Linked DNA regions of Drosophila melanogaster. The protein of the gene in region 1 purifies or fractionates together with the protein of each later gene. This does not show direct contact. Each region holds a gene or a part of one and is shown in the gene's direction. Other genes may lie near its edges.

Region 1 (9,425 bases):
AGCTGACGACATCGGAGGAACACCTACGCAGAAGGGAACTTGAACTGCGGCTAATTAATTTCGACGCACGACAAATGAAGCCGCAAAGGGCTCCTCCGATCGGTGAAAGTGCGCATAATTTACACGCACGGCTCAAAGGTTTATGCCCAAATTAAACTCGCAATTCTGTGGCACATTTTTGCCATTTTGCTTATCAACCAAGGGAGTACTAAAGGCAGTGGGCATCGATGGGCAATTAAGAAAGCCACATGCGGTAGCCATCGCTGGATATCCGTTTACATCTGTTTTTCGCCTGTTGCAAGTTGTCATAATTAAATTATTAACCGAATGCCGAGACCTTGTCGCAGGGTAATTAGTTCTTCAGCAAAGCTTTCACTCTCGCAGTCAGAGCGGGAATTTCCCAGATACGATGTAAGGTAGATATTAAACGGCTTATTTTATAAAACTCCTAAACTTTTTAACATGCGTTTATCGATAAAATTGTGCGTTCATATTCCAAGAATTATTCTGAAATCTCAAAAAGCACTACTATTTCAAAATCATTTGTGTTTTTGTCACCTACATAGTTATAGTTAACTATTTTTATCTGTATTACAAACTTTTGAAATGGACTAACTGAAATTTGAAGTCCAGTGCGTACTTAAAAATATAGCATACTTTTAGGGCTTTCGTTTTGAAATACTACCATTCACAGAGAGCAACACGAATTTTGCAACACTGTTAGCTAGACATGGGAAAAAAATGTTATATAAATTATGATAAAATATTATATACATAAGACAATTTAAATATATATTTGGAAATGTTATGTACTTTAAAAATTCAAAATTTATGAACATAAAATCTTTACCAAATAAAAATTAATTTATATAAATAAAGAAATCAATAATTAGTGACAATAATTCTTCTGGTTCTGCTTGTGATGCAAGCGTACTAAGAAGTCAGTTACTTTCCTTTTAATTTTTATATTTAATATTTATATTCCTTTAACAAATAAAATAAAAAGTAACTACATATTTTCTTAAGTTGCGTGCGATGCAAAGTCAGTTCCTTTCCTGTTAACTTTACTGGTTTTATTTATCATAAAGTTGAGAGCAACTGGTTTTGACACTATCGATGGAAAAGTACTATCGATAGCTATCACCATTCGCCTCGAAAAACAACAACAATGCTACTTTTGTCGCCCATCGCTATTAAAACCTACAATCAATATGAAATGCAAGTAAACGTTGAAAACAGCAACAAATCAAGCTAAATAATAGTAGTGACTTTACTAATGCATTCGCACCGGTAAAATACATTTTGAAATAGTAAAAATTGTGCGAAAGCGACGTGGAAAGCCGTTTCAAAAGGCCAGGTACAAAAACATACGCACACAAGCGTAGACCGTGAGACGGGCAGGCACCCACACGCACACACATATGTAACCCGTCTTTTCCATGACAAAGTGAAATAGAAGAATCGTTAAGAAAATAAAGAAAGCAACAAAGTGAAAATAGAAGCATTGGCTCGATAACGTCTAGCAATTGAATGCACTTCCCTGGGACGTATATTTATCGATCATCGGTTGGAAGTGCGTGCGAAAACAACGGTTCTTGTATTAATTGCACGTATATGTACATAACAATTATATTGTCGCCGTGTGAGTTTTTTTCACCGTTTCTTTTACGCGGAGAGATCGGATGGGCCAGCGAATCAATGTACATGCACATATATCCGATATCTGCGATATAGGCGGCGACAAAGGAAGTGACGACGCAGTACGGCGGATTGGTATCCCGGGACATATCCGCAATTGCAAACTATTCGCGAATAAAACCAGCCGCTTCCCCAAATAGACATACACACACGGGCATATATATACATATGTACGTACACACGTCTGCTTGTGTACATCGCGCTTGACACCCTAACATTTGCGTGGAATGTTTGCACAAATATACGAAACCAGAATGCTCATCTCGGCACCACCCTACGCGGATTGTAGCGTAAACATGCTGGGAGATCTGTGATAGAACTAATCCATTCACCTCTCCTTATCTTTCAGGATAAACCAAGGATAACCCAGGTTAACTGTGTTCTTGTTGTGTTAACCATTGATTGCCGCCGAGGAAAGCAGGTTCCGTCATCGGAAAAGTCGGAGAAGCACCTGCTCTTCTTGCAGCTCCCTGCTCCGGAGTCCGAACCGCCAATAAAGTGGAGGAGCAGTGCCGACGCTTGCAAAGCATGAATCTGCGGGGAAATCCTCCCAAGAAGGAGGGCAAAATGCGCATTCGGGCCTTTCCGGTAAGAACCCACATTGGAGCATCGTTAAAACCACGATACACACTCTTAATCGTGTAATATTGCTAAGAGCGAACTAATATGAGATTATCTATTATCTGACAACCCGGAACTAATACAAGTTTAAACCACAAACTGTAAAAACATTTTCATTTTAAGCTCAAATCCAAGAAATCACTATGAAGAAAGAGCTTGCTGTCCACAGCAAGTTGTATAATCCCAGATTATGCCATTTCTTTGGTTCAAAAAACAATGATCTTCAAATTTTTAAGATTAAGCGTTTGAAAAGGTTGAGTGCAATTTGCAAACGAATTTAAAAAACGAGATATACTCATTTGAAAAGCCCCTTACTCGCTTTGCAGTTGAGATGAGAGTTGCAGCGAAAAATCTGTCGATCGCATCATGAACTTGCAAAATGTTTCGATAAGATAATGCCATTTGCGGGTATTAAGAGTTAGATAATTTTTATAAAACAATTAGCAAATTCACCGGTTAGGCGACACCAAACATTTCTCCCCACAAAATGTCAGGCGACATGAAAAGCAAACACCAAAAATCAAAAACAAATAAAAACATCAAAACACCAACCGGGGCCAGGGGAATTTTCAACACACATTTTAGTTTTTAAGTTACAACGAATTCAATCGTAGTTTTCGAGAAATTATTGTTGACCAACAACACACACAAAAAGACTGTGAACACCTGTATGTGGAGAGCAGGGTGAAGGGCGAGACCCGAATCGCGAGTAGAACTCTGGCCGGAGTACGGAGCACAGAGGAGGAGGAGGAGCAGCGGACCAGGTGTAGCAGAACCGCGCGGCGGATGTGACATTGAAGCTATCATCATTAAGTCGTTAAACCAAAGTCGGTCTCGCCAGGCACCGGCTTCAGCAGCGGGCTATTATCCAGCCCCTCGCTCTCTGGCACTCAGCGAGGAAGAGAGGAGCCACTACCGGGACAGGACGTGTGAGCTGGACCAGCGTAGCAATCTCATGCAAGGCCGCGATCCCCGCCAACAGCAGCCGGAGCCACTGAACAACCTCAACGCCAACGGCCGCTACCACAATCGCATGGTGGCCGGCTCCAACAACTTCAATGGCGCAACTGTCGGTAATGTGGACTCTGCCGTGCCTTGCCGGATTGCAAGGCAAAACGTTCTTGGACAGCAGGCGCGAAGCATGAACATCAATGTGCCCAACGCCTCCTCAATGCAGCAACACCAGCAGTCCCAAAATCGATTGTCCGCTCAGGGATTAGCTTCTGCCTCGCGGCGGAGTTATCACCTTGCCGCCAGCGGTGGCAGAGTTCGGGCTGATAACAGAATTAATACTAACCACCCGCTCACGCCGACGCCACTTTCCATGCCAGTTCCAGCTCCTGCTGCTCCAGCTGTCGTTAAAACTGAAACTAGTGCAACCACCTCTGGGCCATCAACCTCAGCTTCAGCGAGCGCAGAAAGTACAGAAAAACGCTTTAAGGAAATAGCACGGAAGTACCCACTCTGGCTACCGGAGTACAAGCGAAGGGCATTCAATGTTAGCCTACCATCTGATAAAAACCAAACAGGGATTTCAACTTTTAGTTAACTTACTAACAAGCGAAAGTCTTAATATCCCTCTTACACTCTTATGCATTTATAAGTTTTAATCCCTGAGAAATAAGTTCTTGACTATCCAAATTAATAATCTTATATTTCTCTTCCAGGCCTCCATGGACGAGAAGTACGTGGAGACCATTTGGGCCAGCTTAAAGAATGCTATCCAGGAGATACAGAAAAAGAACAACTCCGGACTATCGTTTGAACAACTCTACCGGAATGCGTACAACATGGTGCTGCATAAGCACGGCAATAGACTGTATTACGGTCTGAGGGAGGTCGTCTCAGAACACCTGGAGCACAAGGTGCGGGCGGATGTGCTGGAGGCTCTGCACAGCAATTTCCTACCCAAGTTAAACCAGGCCTGGACAGACCACCAGACATCTATGGTGATGATCCGCGACATACTCATGTACATGGATAGAGTTTATGTGCAGCAGCGCGAGGTAGACAATGTGTACAATTTGGGATTAATTTTGTTCAGGGATCAGGTAGGAATATCTTTATTGCATTTATTCCGTTGGAAATATATTTATCGCTTTTTCCATTACCAGGTGGTTCGCTATTCTGAGATTCAAAAGGCCCTGCGAGAGAAGTTGCTGGGCATGGTGATGGAGGAACGTCATGGCGAAGCCATTAACCATCTGGCTATCAAGAATGCTTGCAGTATGCTGATCACCCTGGGGATTAACTCGCGCACTGTCTACGAAGAGGACTTTGAAAAGCCCTTCCTTGCGCAATCGGCGGCGTTTTACAAATTCGAGTCGCAGAACTTTCTTGCCGAGAACAACGCTGGCGTTTACATCAAGAAAGTGGAAGCGCGCATCACGGAGGAATCTTCCCGGGCAGCGCTGTATCTCGATAAGGATACGGAGCCCCGCATTGTGCGCGTGGTCGAAGAAGAGCTGATCAAAAAGCACATGCGACCCATTGTTGAAATGGAGAACTCGGGCGTGGTGTACATGATCAAGAACTCAAAGACCGAGGATCTGGCCTGCACATATAAGCTTTTCTCGCGCCTGAAGGAGGAGGGTCTCAAGGTGATAGCGGACACAATGTCGGCATATCTGCGAGAGCAAGGACGCATGCTGGTTAAGGAAGAAGAAAACGGCAACACGAATCCCATAACATTCGTGCAGAACTTGCTGGATCTCAAGGACCGCTTCGACCAGTTTCTGGTGCACTCGTTCGCCAACGATCGCATATTCAAAAACGTCATCTCATCCGATTTTGAACATTTCTTGAACCTAAATAACAAATCCCCGGAGTATCTATCGCTATTCATCGATGACAAACTGAAAAAGGGTGGCAAGGGAGTGAGTTGAATTTACAATATGCTTTCTGAAATGTATTAATAATGTGTATTACTTTTCCACAGATGAGCGAACAGGAAATTGAGTCCATCTTGGATAAGACAATGGTTCTCTTCCGTTTCCTATTGGAGAAAGATGTCTTTGAGCGCTATTACAAGACGCATTTAGCCAAGAGATTGCTGCTGAACAAATCAGTCTCTGATGATTTCGAGAAGAATATGATATCAAAACTAAAGGTAGGTCAAGTTACTTGGTATCTTAGCATAATTATTTATCGCTTTAATCTCTATTATTGCAGACTGAATGCGGCTGTCAATTCACCTCGAAGCTAGAGGGCATGTTTAAAGATATGTCAGTCTCCAATACGATCATGGATGAGTTTAAGAACTTTGTAAATAATAACAATTTATCCCTTGGCGGTGTGGAGCTAACGGTACGCATACTAACCACTGGTTTTTGGCCCACACAGGTAAGCTTAAATTGTTCCATAATTATGTGAATAGGTTAACTTATCTTCAATTTCCGTAACAGACAGCAACTCCGAACTGCAATATACCCGCCGCTCCGCGTGAAGCCTTTGACATTTTCAAGAACTTCTATCTAAATAAGCACTCAGGACGTCAATTGACGTTACAGCCACAAATGGGTTAGCTACTTAAATGATCTTCTTTTTTAAGCAACTACTGTATTTATGCCTTCCCCTTCGAATAGGAACCGCCTATATCAACGCTGTGTTTTATGGCCGCAAGGCAGTTGAAAGTGAAAAGGATAAAGATGCACCCAGCTCCAGTTCAAGCGGCTGTGGGGTGCCCACCACCACACGCAAGCACATATTGCAAGTGTCCACGTACCAGGTAAGCTAAAATATCTTTTAGTTCGTACACCTCCGAATTTTATTTAGCAGAAGCAGCTTTATTTCATTGATCTGAAAAAAATATTTAACTAAACATTTAACATGTATTTCATAATCCAAAATTAGATGTGTGTGCTACTGCTGTTTAATAACCGCGACGTGCTCACCTACGATGACATACACCAGGAGACCGATATACCGGAACGGGAGCTCGTCCGAGCACTACAATCGTTGTCCATGGGCAAACCCGCTCAGCGTTTGTTAGTACGCAATTCTAAAACGAAAACTAAGGACATTGAGCCCACGGATGAGTTTTACGTAAACGACGCCTTCAACTCCAAGTTCCACAGGTTAGATATTACTTTCAGTGCGAAAGAACGGCGCCTGGTAATAATATCGAAACTATTTTAGGGTGAAGATACAAACGGTAGCCGCCAAGGGAGAATCAGAGCCAGAGCGTAAGGAAACGCGCGGAAAGGTCGACGAGGATCGTAAGCACGAGATCGAAGCGGCTATTGTGCGCATAATGAAGGCCCGCAAGCGTCTGGCTGTAAGTATTATACGTTTGCTATCTGGTTGGATTGTGATTTAACCATGATTCCTGTTTTTATTTTCTTAGCACAACTTGCTAGTATCAGATGTGACGTCGCAGCTAAAGTCGCGTTTCTTGCCCTCGCCCGTGTTTATCAAAAAGCGCATTGAGGGCCTAATCGAGCGCGAGTATCTGCAACGATCGCCGGAAGATCGCAAAGTGTACAACTACTTGGCCTAAGCGGCCCACAAAAAGTAGCAGGAGCGTCTTAAGCAGGATCCGGAACACACTCATCTTCAAATCGCCAGGGCTTGCACACTAACTGAAAAACACAATCTGCAGCTCGGACGGAATGGCCTGAGCATACGAGCGGCATTGATATGGCGGATACTGACCACGATTATAGATGACCGCCAGCCAATAACCCGAATACATAAATATATCAATTAGTGCGCCCCGAATCGTAAAATTTCGTTTCGCAACCCATTTTGTAAGCCTGACATTCAAAATTCAACAGTTAAAAATGCTATTGGATAAGGCACCACCATAATTATTATCCCTCTAATATATTTCTTGATATTCTCTAATTACTGTTTATGGTCATTTCTTTGCGCATAACAAGTGTATAGCAGTAAGCCCAAACAACCACATACACACCTGCTCCACCACCACCCCATTCAGAGCCACAACCACACACACCACATCCACCCACAAGAATCGTACGCAAAGCAAGATAAGAGAAATAATGCATAATGCAGCCCCTAATTGTAAGCAGCTGAGTAAAAAGGTAAAGAAGCAACAACAGAAATATAAGCAAGAAAATATTAATAACTATAAATATAGCTAAAGTAATAAATTTATAAATGAATTATGAATTTTAGAGAGCGTTTGATGTACATTTATACGTCGTCTGTTTCAATCCAAATAAAAACATTCATCCCACGTTTTGAGATGCGTGTGAACAGAACGTAAGGATTGCAATGACTATTCATATTCCTCTATCTTCATTTTTTGTGTACGCCCAAAGCAACGTGAAGTGATTATGATAATCTGTACGAAAAAGTTGTTTTATCTATTAGTTGATATGTGGGAATCGATTCCAGGCATATGTAGGCAACACTTCTGTAATGGATTTGAGTTAAGTAGGACACACATAGAATTGATTTTGAAAAACAATTTAACGCCGAACCGAAAGCACGAAAACGGAAGCAAGCAAACGCGATCTAAACACTGTAAATAAATTTTGTTCTTACATAAAAGAGAAATCGATATAAATAAAACGTATAATGAGCGTTAACACAGTTGTTGTCTATCTTTTAAAAGGATTTTAAAATATTTTCAATGAAATGCTTTTATTCGCCTGTACAATAAAACGAACTTGGTAACAATTTAAATCTGCAAAAAATCTACTGTTTTCAATTGGTGCCCAACATATTGTGCTAATCGTGTAAAATTTGGGATGGGCAATAAGACTTAAGGATTGGCATAATCATTCTCTGAATCATTCGAAATTTTTTAGTTCTTAATCTTTAAAATTCATGGTTTTTGCAGCTTTTTTCCAGCTATTGTGTAACCGCGTTGAACGACCATATCGGAGTTATCAATGCGACCAAACAAACTTATCCATGGGCAAATATACACCGGATGAGTTAACAATTATACGAAATTGGCAGAACCCCGAAACCGCAACTTGGGCAAACAGCGATGACTTTCGCATATTGTGTAAGATACATACATACATATGTATATCGTGAGCCCGGCCAGAAATTCAGAATGCTAAGTTCTTGGGTAAACACACGCAGCGATCCAATTCGATTCCCCGACGCACTGATAAGCGCTGAGAGTCCGTCGAGTTTTTCAACTCTCTAGAGAGCCGCTCTTGGCCGGTGGTGGTGGGGAGCGAGTGTGTGGAGCGGAGCGCTCAGTTCGGTTTCGTTGGCGATCGCGAACGGAGCGCAGACGAAACGCGCGGTATTTGGATCGTGGCAAGAAATAAAAACAACAACATGCTGAAACCGTATACTTAATACGCGTGTGTGTAGCTCAAAAACAAGAAAAATATAAATAAACAAAACTACATTGCTACGTCAGAAGACTGCAAACAAAAGATATGAACGCAGCGCGCTGAGCTGCTCTTGACGTCGCCGCCAAGGTTCGAATCAGATATATTTTCTCTATTTTTTATTTTTTTTTCCGCCCATTTTTGTGTTGTTTTTAATAAGCTTACAACTTTACAAGTGTTTTTTGTTGTGATTTTTGTACTTTCGTGAGTGATTTGTGATTTGCGATTTGCGTGCAGTTGAAGGCGAGGAGAACTGCATTCGATCTTTCCGATCAGCAGTGCCTTGAGATTGCCGCTTTCGAAGTGAACGTTTCGATGTAGAAACCTTAAAGTCATACTCATGTCTAATTACACAAGCTATTCCCTGGCCGACTAAATCAGCTCTTAGTAAGAAGAACGTGGTAATTACATTTTGAATTGATATCATGGCCAGTCGCCAAGCCGGTTTCGTCCTAGACGCCAAGTCCATGGGTCTGAATCCGTCGAGACCTGCATCATCGCCACCGCCACCACCATCATCTGCCAGTCAAATGTGTCGGCAAGTGCAGCCAACCGGAACGAGTGCCTCGCATCCACATCAAGAATCGACGCTAAAAGCCTCATCTCCTGATCGGTGCACTGCCAGCACCGAGGCGATGTCCACCGAACATTACCGCTGTCTGATCCAGAAGCTGCGGGATACCAACGGCGATGCTGGCGATATGAGCTTTGAGCTGAACAGCATATTTCTGAAGCGGCTGGACGAGATTGACTGCCTAGATGAGCACGAGGGTGATGACATGGTGA
Region 2 (6,530 bases), 2.9 Mb from region 1:
GACGATACCCCTGCACAGAAGGCAGACCTTCTCCCTGCAGCAGCTCTCCCGGGCGACCATTGTGTCCAACACCAGCTACGACGGGATCAACCAGATGGAGCTGCCCGGTCGGCTGAAGAGCTACCTTAAGGAGTATCACTACAAGCAGAAGCTGCGCGTCAAGCCCATCGACCAGAACACCCCGATGCCGTACTACGGCAATGTATAGCGGGAGGAGCAGCAGGTGGGCTTCACCTACTACGAGGACGTGGAGAGCGGCAGCGAGGTGGACGAGGACGACGACGAGGGGGTCAACATACGGGTCTCCTACGTTCAGCACGCCGAGGTGGTGGCCCAGCTGCAGCAGGTCACCACGGCGTCGGGCCCATCGGCTCCGTCCTCATCCAGATCGTCCAATCTTCAGGAGCACCTCAGCAGGCTGCCCAACCGCATGGCAGCCGCCTTTGGTCGGATGTCGGCCAATCTGAATTGCTACCAGAAGACTGTCGCCACGCCGGAGCGTCACTCCAACTCCTCCTGAGGATCAGGACGTGGACGGAGGGGCAAACAGAACCCAGAAACCAAAACTCAAACTGAGACAATCCCAGTGCAGCGTGTGCCGCCACCATAAGTTAAAAGATCAAACGCGAAGCCACATAACAAAATCGCTAGCTCGCTACTACAAGACTGTCATGGATCAAAAACCAAATGTTCACCATATATATCTCACCTATTGGAATGCAGCTCGGACGGATTTTTGAGTTGTGGCACTCTTGAAAGCGAGCTGGTAGAATGTAGAATCGAAATCGCAGTTAGCTAATTGTACTATAAACTAAGTATTATTATCTAAAGCAACCCTCTCTCCTACACACATAAGTATTGCAAAAAGAAGGGCCAATCGAGCTTTTCGTAATCGCTGGTATTCTTGTAATATTTCATTGTATTTATTTGAAGTATGGAATCTAAATGATGTGTTACTGTTACGTGTAAATACGAGATACGAATGCAGCTTAGTTAGTGTAAAACTCTCTCATTAGCCAAATTTCCAAATGTAATTTTCGCCTATTTATGAATATACTTTATTTATTTATTCGAAGTGATTTCGTTCGCAAGCGAGTGCTTTGTTTAAAAAGAAAAAACCCGTCAGTTGTACACGTGTAGAGCATTTGTAAATACTACCGATTTTCGCATTAAGCTGTAGCTATATTAATATAATGAATTATAAATCATGTATTCCTACCTAGGTGGTTGCTGTTATTCGTAAACATTCAATAAGCAGTTGTTTCCAATACCTATTTAATGTATTTTACATATCTCACATGTTGATGAGCATGCGTATCAATATTCAAAAACAAAATCGAAAAAAGAGTCAAACAAATAAAGTTGATCAAGATATTAGAAAAAATCTCAAAGTGTGTTTTGAATCAGAAGTGTGGAATCATAATCAACCCAAATGATTGATGTATTTTAATATCTTTAACAAATGAATGTTTAACTCATTCGTTATTTTCATTATAAAGTCGTGAATTCTTTATAAAATGAGAGTAATCAACTAAAATCTATAGATTTCTATTTATTTTATTTTATATCTATAAAATATCTATAGATATTCTATCAAGATTATGCTGAACTAAACCTTTTTTACTTTCTTTTATGGAATTCGAATATGCAATCTTAATGAATTCTGTGTCGCATATTTGTAATCTTTTTGCAATTTTATTTATATATTTTTATAAGATGAATTAGGTATGCTTTTTTTAAGTTTAGGTAAATGTGGAATATTAGTTTGTATATCAATTTAAAAATCACACTTTTTGAAACGTACGTATAAATAAAAATTAAAGGGGAGAGGTCATATTTAAGATGTAATTCAAGTGAATTACAAAAATTCAAAAATTAAATGACTTTATCATTAATTTTATAGTTGGAAACAAAGCCAGCTCAGTGAGAACTGGTTGAAAATGCCTATCGGACTATCGATGAGTATTCATCGCTAGTGGTAACTTGCGACCAACCCGAGGCTGGTCACACTGCTCTGGTCGCGTCCAAAAAGTGTACAATTTTTCACCACCTCGGTTTGTTTTTTCGGACCAGGCGAGGCACCTTCGATTCGCTGCGACTTCCGTTTCCGATCCGTTTCGGATGATAGCTCTGAGTGCGCTGCTAACCAAATATACGATCGGTATTATGAGCAACCTAAGCAATGGCAACAGCAACAACAACAACCAGCAGCAGCAGCAACAACAACAGGGTCAGAACCCACAACAACCAGCACAGAATGAAGGCGGAGCGGGAGCGGAGTTCGTGGCGCCACCGCCCGGACTAGGTGCCGCAGTGGGCGTGGCAGCCATGCAGCAGCGCAACCGCCTGCTGCAGCAGCAACAGCAGCAGCACCACCACCATCAGAATCCCGCCGCCGAGGGAAGTGGCCTGGAGCGGGGCAGCTGCCTTCTGCGCTACGCCAGCCAGAACTCCCTGGACGAGAGCTCCCAGAAGCACGTCCAGCGGCCAAATGGCAAGGAGCGCGGCACTGTGGGGCAGTACAGCAATGAACAGCATACGGCGCGCTCCTTCGACGCCATGAACGAGATGAGAAAGTAAGGATGGCACGAGATCCTGTCGAAGGATCAGTTCGTACGACTATAAAATTTGGTTAAGTCCTTAAGCATCATAAAGAAGTAGCCAGGGTTTCTAAAGACCTTAAGGCAGTATATTTAGATCCACAAATAGTATTATATCCTAATTCCTACCTGTGAGAGGTTTTAAAAACCTTAGGTAGAACATTGGTTATTTTGTACCTGCCCTGGAGAATAGAACACACAGCACCCACATAGGACTTTTAATGATATGCAGAATTAGATCTATGTGATTTTATAGCCTGATTATGTAAATAAGCACACCTACAACGGTTCGAAAAATGTTTCAAATGTCATTTGTTTGCTCAACAGCAAACCAGCTGAACGTTCGTTCAGGTTCTAAAAAGGTGTCAGCTATTTCCCAGTTACTATTTCCTTGACAAAACAAGCTGATCTGAGTTTCTACCACTAAAACTTTCAGTTGTTAAATATGACGACCTACCTCAACTTAATATAAATAGAACTGTGCTAACTACACTCTATTATAAACTCATCTCCTCTGTTCCCGGACAAAGGCGCATGATTCAATCCCTGCGTGTTCGACGGGAACAGGTGGACCGACTGGCTCTCGAGCTTTGAGATTTGGGCCAAGATGCGAAAATAAAATCTCTGAAAATGTCAGATGATCGTCTCTCGCATATTTGCGCAGTTCGCTTTGTTTATCTGGCCGTTGCTAATATTTGTGTTTGCACACTACATATGTATAAACGAATATTTGCCGCCGCTTTTGTCGTGGGGCCATTCGCATTAATTATTGTCTAGTTTTTATTATGATGAGTTGCTTACGCCTTCGGGTTTCGCATTGGGCCACGACCTTGAACTTGGTTGCGGCCAAAAATGATATTCGTTTTCGAATCGCATTTCGATTCCGCTTCCGCGTCTCCGCCTTTGCTTACTTTTTGGAAAACTACTGGGCGTATGGAAAATTTATTGGTAGCTTACATAAAACGAGTTTTTTTTTTCGGACCAATCATATCGTATTCGGCGCGAAAGTGAATGTGGTATAACCCAAAAAGTAAGCCGAGCGTTGTAATGTGGATTGCTTTTTGATTGGGAATTGAATCACACAAATATTTCGTGAGGTGTATATTCTATGAGATTTTTTTTATTGGGTTATAATTATAACACCTTACGATTTTGAAGACAAAAGATCTTAGTCTTTTCGAGTAGTCATCATCATTTAATGGCGCCATAATTTGCACAGTTAATAGCATCCCCGTCTCTTTTTACAAAACAAAATATTTTCCTCTTGAAAAAATTCAAGCACTTTTGTTTACAAACATACATACCAGCCTTGAAGATATTTAGCACGCTTTTAAACTGTTTATTTGGCAATCAAAACGATCTATTGCTAGTGGATTTCAAAGTCTCAATATTGTCGATACATGACGGTTACTAACCAATTTACTGCGTACAAAAAAATGTATCAAATCTGATATATATATATTTTTACCTATAACAGACAAAAACAGCTCTGTGATGTGATATTGGTGGCCGACGATGTGGAGATCCACGCTCACCGCATGGTGCTGGCCTCCTGCAGTCCGTACTTCTATGCGATGTTCACCAGTTTCGAGGAGTCGCGGCAGGCGAGGATCACCCTCCAGAGTGTCGATGCTCGGGCCTTGGAGCTGCTCATCGACTACGTATACACTGCCACGGTGGAGGTAAACGAGGATAACGTGCAAGTCCTCTTGACCGCCGCCAACCTGCTCCAGCTCACGGATGTGCGAGATGCCTGCTGCGACTTCCTGCAAACTCAGTTGGATGCCAGTAATTGCCTCGGCATCCGGGAGTTTGCCGATATTCATGCCTGCGTGGAACTTCTCAATTACGCAGAGACCTACATCGAGCAGCATTTCAAGTAAGTGGCTAGATTGTGATGACGCAGTATGGGCAGACAAATATAAAATTGTTTTGATTTGCCTGTTTACAGATAGGAATCCATTACTGTATCTGTTCAGTGTTCACTTTTAGAGCATGTATATTGGGAAGACTCACTTTAGTTTGTTCTATATCTACGGATAGTAATTCGTATTTAAATTCCAGTGAAGTGACTATTTATTTATTATTTATTGAGGATAGAAAGCTGCCGTACAACAATATCAATTGAATCGATTAATGGGATCAGATATTTTAATAATTATAGTAACATTTAATAACATGTGTCAAGTTAAAGTTCCTTAGACTCAACAAAAAGGATTTTTAATTATATTATAAAAACGATTAAATTCCTAGGTGTGTTTGGAATGTATCAAAATTTAAATAGTTTAACAGTCACGCATTGGTGTCTTCCAGCATCTGTTTGAAGTCGCTAATTTTGGGTTTCCATAAGATCACGAATTTAATCTTATATTAATTATATTTTCGAATTCAACTACTGAATTAGTAATAACCAAAGTATCAGAATTATATAAGTTCTCATTGATTTCATCAGGCAGAAACAAAATTAGTTAATTATTAAGTTTATATAACAGTAAACAGACGCAAAACCGAAAGCAAATGTGCAATATAAACCATTGAACCGGTTGCGATTAATTAAATTTACTTAGCCCACTCCTCTCATTCCTTGCGCCCCATTACTAACTGCTTGTGTTTGGTTTATTTGCAGCGAGGTGATCCAGTTCGATGAGTTTCTGAACCTCTCGCACGAGCAGGTCATCAGCCTGATTGGCAACGACCGGATTTCGGTTCCAAATGAGGAGCGCGTATACGAGTGCGTCATCGCCTGGCTGCGCTACGATGTTCCTATGCGGGAACAGTTCACCTCGTTGCTCATGGAGCATGTGCGTCTGCCGTTCCTGTCCAAGGAGTACATCACACAACGTGTGGACAAGGAGATCCTCCTCGAGGGCAATATCGTGTGCAAGAATCTCATCATTGAGGCATTGACCTATCATCTACTGCCCACTGAGACAAAGTCCGCTAGAACGGTGCCCAGGAAGCCGGTGGGCATGCCCAAGATACTGCTCGTTATTGGAGGACAAGCACCCAAGGCTATACGATCGGTGGAGTGGTATGATCTGCGAGAGGAAAAGTGGTACCAGGCCGCCGAAATGCCCAACCGCAGATGCCGCTCCGGCTTAAGTGTCCTGGGTGACAAAGTCTATGCTGTCGGAGGTTTCAATGGATCACTGCGTGTGCGCACCGTAGATGTCTACGATCCTGCCACGGATCAGTGGGCAAACTGCAGCAACATGGAGGCCAGACGATCTACCCTGGGAGTAGCTGTCCTCAATGGTTGCATATACGCCGTGGGTGGATTCGATGGCACTACGGGTCTGTCGAGTGCCGAGATGTATGATCCCAAGACTGACATCTGGCGGTTTATCGCCTCCATGTCCACGCGTCGCAGTTCTGTGGGCGTAGGCGTCGTCCACGGACTTCTTTATGCCGTGGGCGGTTACGATGGCTTCACTCGTCAGTGCTTATCTTCAGTGGAGCGCTATAATCCGGACACGGACACATGGGTTAATGTGGCGGAAATGAGTTCGCGGAGGAGTGGCGCCGGAGTGGGAGTGCTGAACAATATCCTTTATGCCGTTGGCGGTCACGATGGTCCCATGGTCAGAAGATCTGTTGAAGCCTACGATTGTGAAACGAACTCCTGGCGTTCAGTGGCAGACATGTCATATTGCCGGCGAAATGCGGGAGTGGTGGCTCATGATGGCCTGCTGTATGTGGTCGGTGGCGATGATGGCACCTCAAATCTAGCTTCTGTGGAGGTCTACTGCCCGGACTCGGACAGTTGGAGAATACTGCCTGCTTTGATGACCATCGGACGCAGCTATGCGGGCGTGTGTATGATCGACAAGCCCATGTGAATGGAAGAGCAGGGTGCATTGGCCCGGTAAGTCAATGGAAGCATTGTTACCAAAACAAATTATAATAATCTCTCTTGTTTCTTTTCAGCCA
Region 3 (4,118 bases), on another chromosome or scaffold:
CCCCGGATCCCTTAGAGGTTTCCACATTCCGCACCTTGCACCGGGAGAGACCCCCAAAATTCGTGTGGATAGTGCCTGTATCGAATCTCATCCAGACGCAGAAATTTCGACCAGTAACAGGTTGGTGGCACCTGGTAAGCGAACGGACAAGAAAGATAATGGGTCAATCAGGACGAACATGAAACGGAAGGCTAAGTGCATGGAGGAGGATTCGTTGAAGGCTAACGGCGATTTGGCCTTGTTTCCCGGACGCGACGAGAGCTATCCGGAGGAGTTGAACAGGCTTATTGGACCACTGAACTGTCAGCTGTGTAAGGTGCAGATGACCTCGAGGAAGCGCGCCCGGGATCACTACGAATCGAAGGCCCACGACCGACACATCAGCGCCTGGCTGGCCAAGAACTACACGGAGGTGGGTCTGGAGGCGCCTCCAGTGAAGCGGCTGGCCAAGCAAGGACCAACCGGCCCAAACGCCTTTCACTGCGAGCTGTGCAATCTGGACCTTACCTCCTCTATGCACGCCCGCCAGCACTATTTAGGTCGGAAGCACAAGCGTGTGGAGCAGGGCGTCGCGAAGCCCTCCGGAGCCAGGCACTGTGATACATCTGTTGGTCGTTACGGCATAGGGAGTCTGTTCCGCAAGCCGGAAAGTTTAACCAAAGATTCCCCTACGGACGTATTAATATCAGAGAACAGCGTGATCAAGTCTGACGATAATGAGCGCACCTGCCACCTGTGTAAAATAGTGGTCACCTCTGCTGCACAAATGCAGGCCCACTTGGCTGGAGCCAGGCACCAAAAGAACTGGAGGACCTCCCGGCAGGATCAGAATCATTCGGAGGCGCCGATCCCTGAAACGGAGAAATTAGATGCCGCGGAACTGGCCTTGTATCGCACTCCAATGGGTCAGTACTACTGCCAGCCCTGCAACATGATGATGAACCATGAGAGCACCTTGCAACAGCACTTTATTGGCAAGAAGCACCTGAAGAGGGTAAAAAACCTTTCCCAAACTGAGAAGAACGTGTAAAGAATTTATTTGATATACCCTAAGCCTAAGCCATGACTTCCCGTTAGCAGTAAAGCTTCCTTAATAATAATGACATTCGAGTTTGGGAAACAGCTATTTTGTTTAAGAAAGGCATTATAAAAACCGTAATTTGTTATCATACCCATTACTCATAGAGGGGTATATTAAACTCGTTAAAAGGAATACAAATTTCTATCGATATGCCAAGATAATTTTGAAATTTCTCTCTCAAACTCACTCCCACTATCTGGTATCTGATAGTCGAGAAATTCGACTATAACATTCTTTCTTGTTTAAAAAAATTGTCTAAATTTAGGGATTCAAAAGTGGTTTACCGATGATAAGCTTTCTTGAGCCCCACTTAATATGATCACAAGGTTTAATTTCTTTTCTGCATTTATTTTTAAAATTATTCGCCGTTGTTATTTCGTAGATAAATCGGTAGTGGTCAACTTTTTTTTATTAACTGTCAGGCCAAAAACAAATGGAATTTAAAATAGTTCAAATCAAATTCGAATACGAAAATAAGTGTTGTATTTTGAAAAAGAAAAAAAATTCGTAATTTCACACCATGGCCGAGGAGATAGAGGTTGAGGAGACGGAGGACTTCCACGACATGGACTTCAATGACGAAGAGCCATCCTGTAGTGGAGGAGCTGTCCAGGCCAGGACGGAGCGCTTTGTGGTGAAGAAATGGGTTGCGCACGCCATGTGGGGATGGGACGTAGCAGTGGACAACTGTGCCATCTGCCGTAACCACATCATGAACCTGTGCATCGAGTGCCAGGCGGACCCGAATGCAAACCAAGACGAGTGCACTGTGGCTTGGGGCGAGTGCAACCACGCATTCCATTACCACTGCATCGCGCGCTGGTTGAAAACGCGCCTGGTCTGTCCGCTGGACAACAAGGAGTGGGTCTACCAGAAGTACGGCCGCTAGCGAGGAATATGGATCGGGATATTAGGTGGTGATAGCTGTTTGCTGGCATGTAATTACTGTAATTAAATAAGAACGGACTTGGGTTCCAAAAGAAGGTTTACGCTTCCTGGTCGGGCAGGAGTTGCTGGGCCGTGGGCCTGACGCCAGTTATATGTTCGATTTGAGAGTAAAGCGAATCGCGCTCCTCCACTAAGCTAGCGTACTTTTGCTGCAGCTCCTTCTCGCGGTCCATCTGGCGACGCACGTCCTCTTGCAGCGATTCCAGGCGTCGCGGCACAGCGATGGCCTCCTGTTCGCCCAAAAAGCGGAATGTCGAGAGTGAGACAGAGTTCTGCTCAATCTGGCCGTACGTGTCCTGAAGCTGCTTAATCAGCACCTGGGCGCGCGCCTGGTAGCCGCCGGTGAGAATCTTCAGCTTCTTCTCGATCTTGCCGCAGCGCTTGGCTTCCTTGGCCATGTGGCGGCGATTTGTCTCCAGCCGTTTCTCGGCAGACTCTAATCGATCCTTCTTGCTGGCCAAATTGGCGCGTGTGTAGCGATGTTGGGAGGGTAGGTAAAGAACCTGGCCGAGGCACTCCTGCCACACCTGGGCATAAACGTCTAGGGGCAGTTCGCCATGCGCCATGCGCTCCTTCACCACCTCCATTTCCTCGGTGAGCATTTGCTTGGCCTTCGCCAACTCTTGCTGCGAGATGTCCTCGTAGGGATTGGCCTTAAAGTAGCTTTGTAGCTGTTCCAACTTGTGCTGCGATTGACCAGGCACGGGATCCTTGACCGAGTCGTACACTGCCAAGAAAAAGGACGTTAGTTACTTGGGTTAAAATGGAAACGTTGGGTTTACTCACGCTGCATGGTGATCATTTCGTGTTTAATCAGCTCTTCGGCCTGCTGCTGTTCCGTAAGGTTCTGTTTCTCGGACTGCGGTCGCAGAATCTTGGTGTTCACTTCAGTTGGTCGCGGGAGACTACGCTGAATAACCTGGGAGCGCTTCTCTAGCTCTCGCTTTCGGCGCGCCTCTTGTTCAGCCAATAACCTGGCGTCGACATCCGCCTGATCCTCGACGGCGGGTTCTGAGTTGGTCTCAATGCGTTCGCTTTCCTCCTGCTCAGGCACCACGATCTCATAGTCATTCCGTGGAGCGGGCAGCGTGGAGAGACCGTCACGCAGTGTAGACTTTAGTTGCTTTTGGTAGTTTTTGTAATGTGCTGGGGTCTCGGTGACGCCCATACTCTCCTCAGGATTGATGCTTAGCTTGTCCCTCACGTAGGCAGGTGTATTGACGACACCCGTAGCCCCTCCTGCCCCCTTTACGGGAACTAGGGCTCCGGAGGAGGGCGTTTGGAATCCGCCGGGAGTGGCTGCTCCGCCCTCGCGTTGGGTTCTAAACGGCGTGGCAATCACTGTGTTAGGCGTGGCGATGGAGGCCGCCTTGGGCAGCACGCCGGAGAAGTCTGACTCGTGCAGCGGTGTGTTCAGGCCACCTTTGAGTGGCGTCTCTGTGTGGGTGAGGGCCATCATGTTTTGGGCCTCCTGCATGATGCGATCGGTGTACGGAGCCGGAGTACGTGGAGTGGCTGCTACCTGGGGTGTAATGGAGTAGTCGGCTAGCAAAGCATCCGTCGTCTCTATGCCGCTCTCACCGGCAATTTCCTTTGCCATCTCACTGGCGCGTCCCAGCTTGACTACCTGCTGTAGTTCCATGTCGGAAATCTGCGGCGTAGGCAGGACTAGTTTGGAGCGCTTCCGCTCGGGCTCCATGTTTTGCAGCATTGCGGTGGGCACTTCATTCTCTTTGCGCTGCTTCAGCTTCTGCTTGTCCCGCTTGCGTTCGCGTTCCTCCTTCTCTGAGCGGAGTTCTCCATCTAGGTCCTGCTGCCGCATCTTGTTGAAGTCGGGTTCATTTTTCTGCAAGTGTTCCTCGGAAGTGTCGTAGAATCCGTGGGCAGGTCGCTTTTCGAAGGGAATCTCGGCGTTGTAGTCTATTCCCTTGATCCGCTTGCGATTTCCGCTGCCAATTCCGGCGGCACGAAGTTCGCGCCGCTTTTGGAGAGTGGCCAGGCGGCGGGCTTCCTCCAGTTGCTTTTCGCGAGCCTTGCGCTTGGCTTTCTTGCCTTGCGTGTTGGCCAAGCGGGCGCGTGCCTCGGACAG

What was found. The genes of interacting proteins can lie anywhere in the genome.
Region 2: the proteins of Cul3 (region 1) and kel purify together in Drosophila melanogaster (affinity purification with western blotting; 3 studies listed by BioGRID). This does not show direct contact.
Region 3: the proteins of Cul3 (region 1) and Roc1b purify together in Drosophila melanogaster (affinity purification with western blotting; 4 studies listed by BioGRID, with this or other methods). This does not show direct contact.

The regions. Positions count from the first base shown.
Region 1 is NT_033779.5:15,263,766-15,273,190, reverse strand, and holds Cul3 (cullin 3), read left to right. Parts: upstream 1-2,866; 5' UTR 2,867-3,274; coding exon 3,275-3,817; intron 3,818-3,986; coding exon 3,987-4,370; intron 4,371-4,433; coding exon 4,434-5,195; intron 5,196-5,257; coding exon 5,258-5,428; intron 5,429-5,490; coding exon 5,491-5,661; intron 5,662-5,723; coding exon 5,724-5,838; intron 5,839-5,903; coding exon 5,904-6,046; intron 6,047-6,171; coding exon 6,172-6,395; intron 6,396-6,456; coding exon 6,457-6,595; intron 6,596-6,664; coding exon 6,665-6,817; 3' UTR 6,818-7,162; downstream 7,163-9,425. Other genes in the region: yuri gagarin, read left to right, coding at 9,065-9,421.
Region 2 is NT_033779.5:18,133,523-18,140,052, reverse strand, and holds the start of kel (kelch), read left to right. Parts: upstream 1-1,969; 5' UTR 1,970-2,121; coding exon 2,122-2,576; intron 2,577-4,077; coding exon 4,078-4,479; intron 4,480-5,226; coding exon 5,227-6,439; coding exon of another isoform or gene 6,440-6,465; intron 6,466-6,527; coding exon of another isoform or gene 6,528-6,530. Other genes in the region: Socs36E (suppressor of cytokine signaling at 36E), read left to right, coding at 1-208. UniProt on the Drosophila melanogaster protein: Component of ring canals that regulates the flow of cytoplasm between cells. May be involved in the regulation of cytoplasm flow from nurse cells to the oocyte during oogenesis. Binds actin.
Region 3 is NT_037436.4:356,430-360,547, forward strand, and holds Roc1b (regulator of cullins 1b), read left to right. Parts: upstream 1-1,551; 5' UTR 1,552-1,601; coding exon 1,602-1,970; 3' UTR 1,971-2,057; downstream 2,058-4,118. Other genes in the region: CG1231 (uncharacterized protein), read left to right, coding at 1-1,030; Cdc5 (cell division cycle 5), read right to left, coding at 2,068-2,756, 2,816-4,118. UniProt on the Drosophila melanogaster protein: Component of the SCF (SKP1-CUL1-F-box protein) E3 ubiquitin ligase complex, which mediates the ubiquitination and subsequent proteasomal degradation of target proteins.